Linked DNA regions of Macaca mulatta. The protein of the gene in region 1 purifies or fractionates together with the protein of each later gene. This does not show direct contact. Links are inferred from orthologs where the notes say so. Each region holds a gene or a part of one and is shown on either strand. Other genes may lie near its edges.

Region 1 (3,799 bases):
CGAGTCCTGAAGGCTGAGTGGCTCCAGGGTGGGTGGCCTTACAGGTGGCATTGGAAGGGACAGGTGCGCCTGGGCAGCCTAGAGAAGGGGAGAGGAGACAGCAGGGGTGGTAGACAGTCTGGGAGCCCAAGTGCAGGGAACCAAGGGCTTGAGAGCCAGCCCCTCCCTGCAGACCTGTAGGCCGGGCTGGGGGACCCCAGGCCAGACTGCAGCCACGGTGGTGGGTGAGATGAGTGGCAACTTGAAGGCGCATGCAGGGCGGGTATCACCAGAGGGGCCCAGTCAGGAGGGACTGATGGAGGAGGTGCTGGAGCCAGCTGGACTCAGTGATGCCCCCTGAGCCGTGCTCCCACTGGGTGGGGGCAGAGACCAGCTCTGCCACTTTCTTGGCCTGGGGCTAGGGCTCTCCTGCTCCTTTCAGGTCCCTGGGGCCTTGGTCTGCAGCCTGGCTTCCCCAGGGTGAGAGCAGGGCCGCAGGGGTGGGCTCCCTGCTGCTGCGCCGCCTCCAGAGCAAGCTTGTTCTGAAGGCTCCTGCCTTGGGAGCCGAGCCGTGGTGTGTCCTCACAGGGTGCCGTGCATGGGCCTCGAGGTAGACAGTGTGGGTGGGCCCAGGACGGGAGTCCTGGGGGTGTGACTTCCCTCCTCACAGGGACCTCAGCTTCAAGCCGGGATCGGCGGCGGCTCTATCCACAGGCAGCAGGAGACAGGGCTGTCTCAGCCGCGCTCTGCCGGGCTCCTGGCTTCCAGGCTGCCGGGGTCCTGAAAGTGGGGCCTGCTCGGGAGGACGGGTGCCTGCTGACAGAGCCTGGTGCCCCACAGGGGGAGGGTGGGCATCATCCGGTACGGACAGCCCCTTCCCCGGGCTCTGTCCTGGGTGTTACCTGTTGGCTGGGTCTCCTTTTCCCTCTAATGTCTACCTTCCCCTGCAGCTGTCCCTGGGTCTGACCAGCACTCCCAGCACCCACGGAGCAGCCACGTCTCCCCCAGGCCCATCGGCCCCTGTCTTCTGGGAGGGTGATTCCTGTGTGCCTTCTCCCTGCCCCCCTTCCCCACCAGCCCCTGAGTCCCTGTGGCACGGGTGGGAGTGTGTGTGACCTGCGCAGCTTCCAGGGGCGGACTCGTCTCTCTCCTGCAGTTTTTTCCGTGCAGCGCGGTTTGTGCAGAGTTGGGTTCCAGTGACTTCCCCTGCAGGTTCTTTCTCTGGGGTGTCGCTGCTGTCTCCCCCTCTGCAGCCTGCTGCTGACTGGGTCCTGACCGTACCTGCCACGGCAGGAAACACATTCGTCGTGCCTTGACTGGTCCCTATGTGACTGGATCCCGCCACATGGGCCACACCCTGGGCCTACCCACCAAGGCCCAGCCTTGGCCCCAGGGACATTCAGCCTGGAGGTGACTGGCTGTGACTCAGGACCCAGAGGAGTAGAGAGAGCCGGGCAGGGGTCCCTCCACCTTGGGGAAGAGCTGGGTGGGCTCTTCAGGAGCTCAGAAGGGCTAAGTCTTGAGGGACGGGGATGCAGAGCTGCCTGCCCGCCCGGCCTCTGCATGCCTGGGATCCGTGTGAAGGGCCTTTGCCTCCTAGAGGCCTGCCTGAGCCGGTGCTGCTGGTGGAAGGCGGCTGCGGCGGCCCCATGGTGGTCCAGAGCAGGTCTGCATACTTGCAGCGGCCCGGCTGGCTCAAAGGGGCCTGGGCTCCATCTCTCAAGCCCCTCATTTGTGCTCCACCCACAGGAGATGCTGCCCAAGGACCCTAGATGCCTCTCTAGAGCATGAGCTCGGGCAAGAGTGCCCGCTACAACCGCTTCTCTGGAGGGCCCAGCAACCTTCCCACCCCAGACGTCACCACCGGGGTAAGGGCGTGCCCCAAGGGTAAGGGTCTGCCCCTCTGCATGCCCAACATCCCCAGAACCCCCCAGCATGCCCCAGGGACCTGGTGCTTCCTGCAGAGCTCCCAGCGCAGTCCCCTCCCAAGCTTGGGTCTCGGGGGAGCTCGTGTGTGTGTGTTAGGCGTGTGAGTGCTGCGTGGCCTGGCCCGGTCGCGTGTTAGGCGTGTGAGTGCTGCGTGGCCTGGCCCGGTCGCGTGTTAGGCGTGTGAGTGCTGCGTGGCCTGGCCCGCTCGCGTGTTAGGCGTGTGAGTGCTGCGTGGCCTGGCCCGCTCGCGTGTTAGGCGTGTGAGTGCTGCGTGGCCTGGCCCGGTCGCGTGTTAGGCGTGTGAGTGCTGCGTGGCCTGGCCCGGTCGCGTGTTAGGCGTGTGAGTGCTGCGTGGCCTGGCCCGGTCGCGTGTTAGGCGTGTGAGTGGGCTCTACATGTGCATGTCCTCCTTGTGTCCGGGAATGAGGCCAGGTCTCCTCCATCCTCCCTCTAGACCAGAATGGAAACGACCTTCGGACCCGCCTTTTCGGCCGTCACCACCATCACAAAAGGTGAGCCCTTAAGCCGAGGCCAGCCCAGGCTGGGAATAACTGGGGCACCCCCACACCCACCCTCCTTAGGACTGAAGGGCACTTCCTGGTGAGCCGGTGTTGCGTGCCAGTGCTGGGTGTGGGCAGCCTCACATCCCAGCCTCTGTCCTCACAGCCTCTCAGCCTTGGGCCTCCCTGCTGGACAGGAGTCGGGTGTCCTGCTCCTTGCGCCTTGGTGACTGTGCTGTGCCCTCTCTCCCTACCCTCTTCACCCCCTCTGGGGAGGCTGCCCTGACATCTCCAGCCCCACCACACAGCCCTGTCCCTTGTCACAGTGACCCCTAGCTTGTCCCCAGTCTCAGGCTTCTGGCCAGTCTCTGAAAGGTCCTGTGTGCCCGGAAGTCCTCTCTGGAGTTTGGGCCTAGGGCTTCAGTACCAGTGCTGCGGTTGTAAAATATTAATAGGAAAAGAGAGAGAGAGTGGAAGAGGTCCATAAGTCTGGTTTGTTTTTTTGAGATGAGTGTCACTCTGTCACCCAGGTTGGAGTACAGTGGCGTGATCTCGGCTCACTGCAACCTGCACCTCCTGGGATAAGTCCTCCTACCTCAGCCTCCCAGGAAGTTGGGACCACAGGCACCACCACACCTGGCTAATTTTTTTTTTATGTTTGGTAGAGATGAGGTGGCACCATGTTGCCCAGGATGGTCTCAAATTCCTGGGCTCAAGTGATCCTCCTGCCTCGGCCTCCCAAAGTGCTGGAATTACACGCATGAGCCACCATGCCAAACCCAATAAATCTTCACCTGCACATGACCACTGGGCGGGGTACACGACGGAAACCTGAAACTTCCTTGCTGCTTCTCAGCCCTAAACCCTAAGAACCAGAGTGCTGCAGGTTGAACGCAAGCACCGTGCTCAGGGAGACGGTGAGGAAGTGGCAGCACCTTCTTCCCGAGGTGCAGGGCCAGGGACCCTCGTTCGGGGCGGGGGCTCTGGGGAGACTTTGTTCTCTGTCCTTTCTGGCACTCTGCCCTTTGTAGAAGCACACCAGCTGCTAATTAGTTTTTTTAATTGCTCTGATAAACCTGGCCATGGGGTCACAGGGCCGCCAAGGACCTGTTCACAGTAGCACCTCTTTGCTGCCGGTGACTCCCTCAGGGGCTTTCCAGGGGCCCTCTTTTTTTTTTTTTCTTGGATGGTTCTTTTTTTTTTTTTTTTTTTTTTTTTGAGACGGAGTCTCGCTCTGTCACCCAGGCTGCAGTGCAGTGGCCGGATCTCAGCTCACTACAAGCTCTGCCTCCCGGGTTCCCGCCATTCTCCTGCCTCAGCCTCCCGAGTAGCTGGGACTACAGGCGCCGCCACCTCACCCGGCTAAGTTTTTGTATTTTTAGTAGAGATGG
Region 2 (4,468 bases), on another chromosome or scaffold:
TACTACACTGGAACAGAGGCCAGAGAAAGGAGCCCACATTAATTGTGGTGGACTTGGAATCTGAAGATCTGGGTGTATTAAAATGTTGAACAATGAAAAGGTTGGGGAAATTAACTATGGTCCCTTTAATTTTGAAACATCATGCAATCAGTACAATTGTTTTGGAACGATATTTGGTGGCACGGGAAAACAGAATAAAATGTAAGCATACTACAAAACAATACAAAGGCATTTTTGTCAAACGCCTATCTGGGTGGGAAATAGATTATCTCTGGGGTGGGAGCTTTTCTTTTTCATACTTTTCTGCATTTTTCAATTTTCCTACAAAAAGCTTGTATTGCTTTTATAAGAAAAAAGTTATTTTCTGAAAGAACCTCTGGCGGAACTCAGATTTCCAGGGACCCACATGCCAGCACTACCCCAGCCTTGGGTGTCTGAGGAACCTAGACTGGAGGGTGTGGCCCTGGAGGTGTGAGACTCAGGGAAAGCGGGGTTGGGCGCGGCCGCCCCTGCCCGGGGCAAGAGCAGCGTCGGGACCGGAGGACCAGCCGGGGGATGGGGCCGCAGAGGTGGCCGCGCGCCGGGAAATGCTCAGGCCAGACCCTCCCCACTCGCTACGCGCCCCGTGCTGGGCACGGGGAGGAGCAGGACACCAGCCTCTGGAACCACCCAGATCGCTGGGGCCTCCAAGTACCCGGAGGGCGAAGGCCTGAGGGCCCCCTCCAGCCGCCTACTCCTCACCCCAGCCCCAAAATAGCCGGCGGCGAACTGCGCCAGCCCGCGCGCCCGCCGAGCGTTCGCTGACTGACGGGAGGTGGGAATATGGGCGGAGCCTCGCGCCTGAGCTGTGATTGGAGCAACCAAGACCTCCCAGTCTCTCCCAAGAAGGGGAGACAGCGCCAGAGAGGGATGCGCAGAGGCGGGGGCTTAGAGACCTCTACGTGATTGGCTAGCAGCGCAAGGAGCCGGGCGCTGTCCCGATGATTGGCAGGCGCTGGACAGCCCCCGGAGACCGCCTTGGCTTCGCCCATTGGCATCCTGTGAGAGTAGGCGGGATTGGTTCATCGTGTGGTGCTGATGATTAGCTGGCCGCTGAGAGTTAGGGTGTTGGGAGAGAGTTGGGGGGGAAGGCGGGGGCAGCCGACTTCCTTCTTGTTATTGGCTGATGAGGTGGGTAGGGGTGGTGCGACGGCCCAGCGGCTGCCTGGGATTGGTGGGCGCCGGCGTGAGTGACAGACAGTGGGGCGAGCTGCGCGACCAGCGGTTTGTTTTTCGGAGCGTTCCTGAGGTGGAGAACGGTGGCCGGACGGAGCGACTGCGGGTCTGAGGGACTGGCGGGCGGGCGGGCCGAGCGGCGCCGCCGAGGCCGGGCTGGGCCGAGCCCAGAAGCGCCCGGGATGTAGCGGGCCACCCTGCCGATGCCACAGCGCCCGGCCGCGGGCGGAGCCGGAGCCGGAGCCTGGGGAGGCGGCGGGGGCCCAGAGCGCAGCCCGCGCCCCCCGCGCGGAGCCAGGCCCGCTGCCGTCCCCGCCGCCCGGGCCCCCGGCATGCAGCCCCGGCTGCGGAGGTGACACTCACGGACGCAAGCCGCCGCCGCCGCCATCGCCACCATGGGTAAGTGTCGCCACCGCCCCGGCCTGTGCCCGCGCTGCTTCGCGACGCCCCGCCCCGGGCTGAGGGAGGAGGACCCTGGGCCGCCGCCTGACAGGCATGGACAGCCTGCCTGGCCCGGGGCTGCGGACCGCCGGCAGCCCGCCTGCCCGCCCGCCGGGCTCGCACGCCGCGGCCCGGGCGGGGGTTCTGGGTCCGCGGGGCGGTTCGGCCGGCAGAGCCCTCTCGGCAGCCCTCCTTCCGGGCGGCGCGACGGGCGCATCCCGGGGAAGCGGCAGTGGGACCGAGGGCCCGTGCTCCGCGGGGCAGCCTGGCTCGAATGAGCCGGACCGCGAGCCCGAGGGCGGGGGAGCGAGAGCGCAGTGTGGGGCCCGGGCTGGAGGCTGCCGCAGGCCCAGCTGCTGTTGTGTCTTTTCCTTGATTTGCTTTTTTTTCCTGCCTGTGTCATTTCCTTCCCTTTGCTCACACAGGCCGGCCTGTGAGAGTTCCCGGGGCTTGCTCTCCAGCCCTGTGCGCGCCCCAGCGCAGGGGGGAGGGCGTGCGGGGCTTGGCTGGGAGGCGATTAAACTGGAATCTGTGATCAAGCGCGCGGTTGACAAATGCGTGCTGCACGCAGATTGCTGGGGGTCAGGAATTGGTCGGATGCTGCCAGTTAGAATTCACATCCTACTTTTTGAAAAATCTTGTTGCAGGGTTTTACATCCATTAATTTTTTCTTGCGGTATCCCTGAAATTATGTAACTTTTCAAAGAAACATTTGCTACACAAAAGAATTTCTCTGAAATGATTTCCTTTTTGTCAGTATTTGCAGTTTCTACTGTGAAGATGTAATCTAAGGAAAGCTTTTAATGTCTTCCGCACTTAGCATTTGAGTTGAATTATATTCCATATTCTTTTTGGTAATTTAGCAAATGACTACTGGACTAGACTAAGAAATAACATTTTAAACGTTATTTACTTCTCCTGTGCAGACAGGTGTTGTGATACTGTTGTCACAAGTTTTGCAAAATATTTGGTATTGCCCTAAATAATATTAAAAGGGTAAACTTCAGTGAGAGGATCGTTTGCAAAGCCTTGCGTTGCTTCTGTGATGTGCCCTGTGTGAAGAGGGAGCCTTAATGTTTGCCTTGCCCTATAGCAAGGTCAAGTCCTTTTTGTAGGAGGTTAACTGTATGCCATGTCAAAATCGCCAGATATTGTTTTGTGACCCATCTCTACACCCTGGCTTTGAATGAATTGCCTCGCTCTAGTTCATGCTATCCCTCATACAGTATGAGAAGGGTTTGTTCATTTGCTGGGCTTACTTTTTCCTTCCCATGCTTTCTTTCAGAAGTGCGTGCTCTTCTGGGGGAAGGTCTGTTGTGAGAGTGGACATAAAAGGAACCCAGTGAGGCCTGCTATTTAAATATATAATTGAAGAAATATTTATTGAATTTTTTTATAGATGAGACACACAATTCTTGTCTACCCCAGGATTCAAACATTTATCTTTTTTTTTTTTTTTTTTTTTTGAGACGGAGTCTCGCTTGTCGCCCAGGCTGGAGTGCAGTGGCTGGATCTCAGCTCACTGCAAGCTCCGCCTCCCCGGGTTCACGCCATTCTCCTGCCTCAGCCTCCCGAGTAGCTGGGACTACAGGCGTCCGCCACATCGCCCGGCTAGTTTTTTGTATTTTTTAGTAGAGACGGGGTTTCACCGTGTTAGCCAGGATGGTCTCGATCTCCTGACCTCGTGATCCACCCGTCTCGGCCTCCCAAAGTGCTGGGATTACAGGCTTGAGCCACCGCGCCCGGCCCAAACATTTATCTTGTATTATAGATTTTGAATAAATCTTCCATTTGATTTATGAGCCTATATTGTGACTTTCTCACAAGTCTTTTTTCTTGTCCTGGGGCAGCTGTTAGTCCCAAAGGAGAGTGTGAAATACTTAAGGGTGTGTAGACCATCCACTTCCTACTTTCTTGACTGCTACACCAGTTAGAGTGCCCACATGTGTTGACTACATCTCATTATCTAACATGAAAATAGGTATGAACCTGTTTTCACATTTCAAGACATTTTCAGAAAGTTTATAAGTGTGAGTACCTGGAGACCAGTGATGGGGAGGAAAAAAACTATATAGGCTGGGTCTAGAGCCTGAAAGAAAGAAGGGCCAGGACCTCAGGATCTTCTCATTTGTCTCCACGTCAATTGTCCCCCTGTCAGTTTTACATGAAGACACATGTGAAAGGAACATGCAAGAGGAATTAACTTGCCTGGTGGCTGCAGTATATTAGCCAAGTTAGTTTAAGAACCACTGCCCTAGCTTTCTTCACTTTCCCCCATACAGTTCTCTCCATCTTTTTTGTGAGGGGAGAGTAGATGACCTTGATACACTGTTAGAGCTAATATTGAATTCTTCTTGACACCCGGCTCTTCAATTTGCTTTCTATAGAGCTCAATGAGGATATATATACACAGATACATTCACACACAGTCTTTCTCTTAAATACTAGGTTCCATTTTGGTGATGAAAATTCGAATTCCCAGTTTAGTTAGTTTGCTTTTGGTTGCTGTAGTTCTACATAAACTCAAAGGATTTATAAGAGAGAAACACAGACTTCTTAGTATTTTAGTTATTCTTGTTAAACTTCAGCCTCATGAAGAAAGGACTAAAACTTGAGTCTGCCCTGCAGGTTCTTTGGTTAAGTAAGAGTCATATTTTCCTGAGCTGTTCTAAGCCCAAGACTGAAGCCTGTTTGACAACTTGGGTTAATAAAAACAGGTCAGATTTTATATTGTCTGTTAGCCCCAGTAAATTTCTAGTGGAAATTATTTATCTCTGTAAATAATAGGAAAATTTTTTTTGGCTTTGATACT

What was found.
Region 2: the proteins of TRAF7 (region 1) and MAP3K3 purify together in Homo sapiens (affinity purification with mass spectrometry; 5 studies listed by BioGRID and IntAct, with this or other methods). This does not show direct contact. The link is inferred for Macaca mulatta from reciprocal best matches to the Homo sapiens genes TRAF7 and MAP3K3.

What each region holds. Positions count from the first base shown.
Region 1 is NC_133425.1:3,393,634-3,397,432, forward strand, and holds part of TRAF7 (E3 ubiquitin-protein ligase TRAF7), read left to right. Parts: intron 1-1,728; 5' UTR 1,729-1,766; coding exon 1,767-1,847; intron 1,848-2,362; coding exon 2,363-2,420; intron 2,421-3,799. UniProt on the Homo sapiens protein: E3 ubiquitin and SUMO-protein ligase that plays a role in different biological processes such as innate immunity, inflammation or apoptosis. Potentiates MAP3K3-mediated activation of JUN/AP1 and DDIT3 transcriptional regulators.
Region 2 is NC_133421.1:73,415,323-73,419,790, forward strand, and holds the start of MAP3K3 (mitogen-activated protein kinase kinase kinase 3), read left to right. Parts: upstream 1-1,567; 5' UTR 1,568-1,610; coding exon 1,611-1,614; intron 1,615-4,468. UniProt on the Homo sapiens protein: Component of a protein kinase signal transduction cascade. Mediates activation of the NF-kappa-B, AP1 and DDIT3 transcriptional regulators.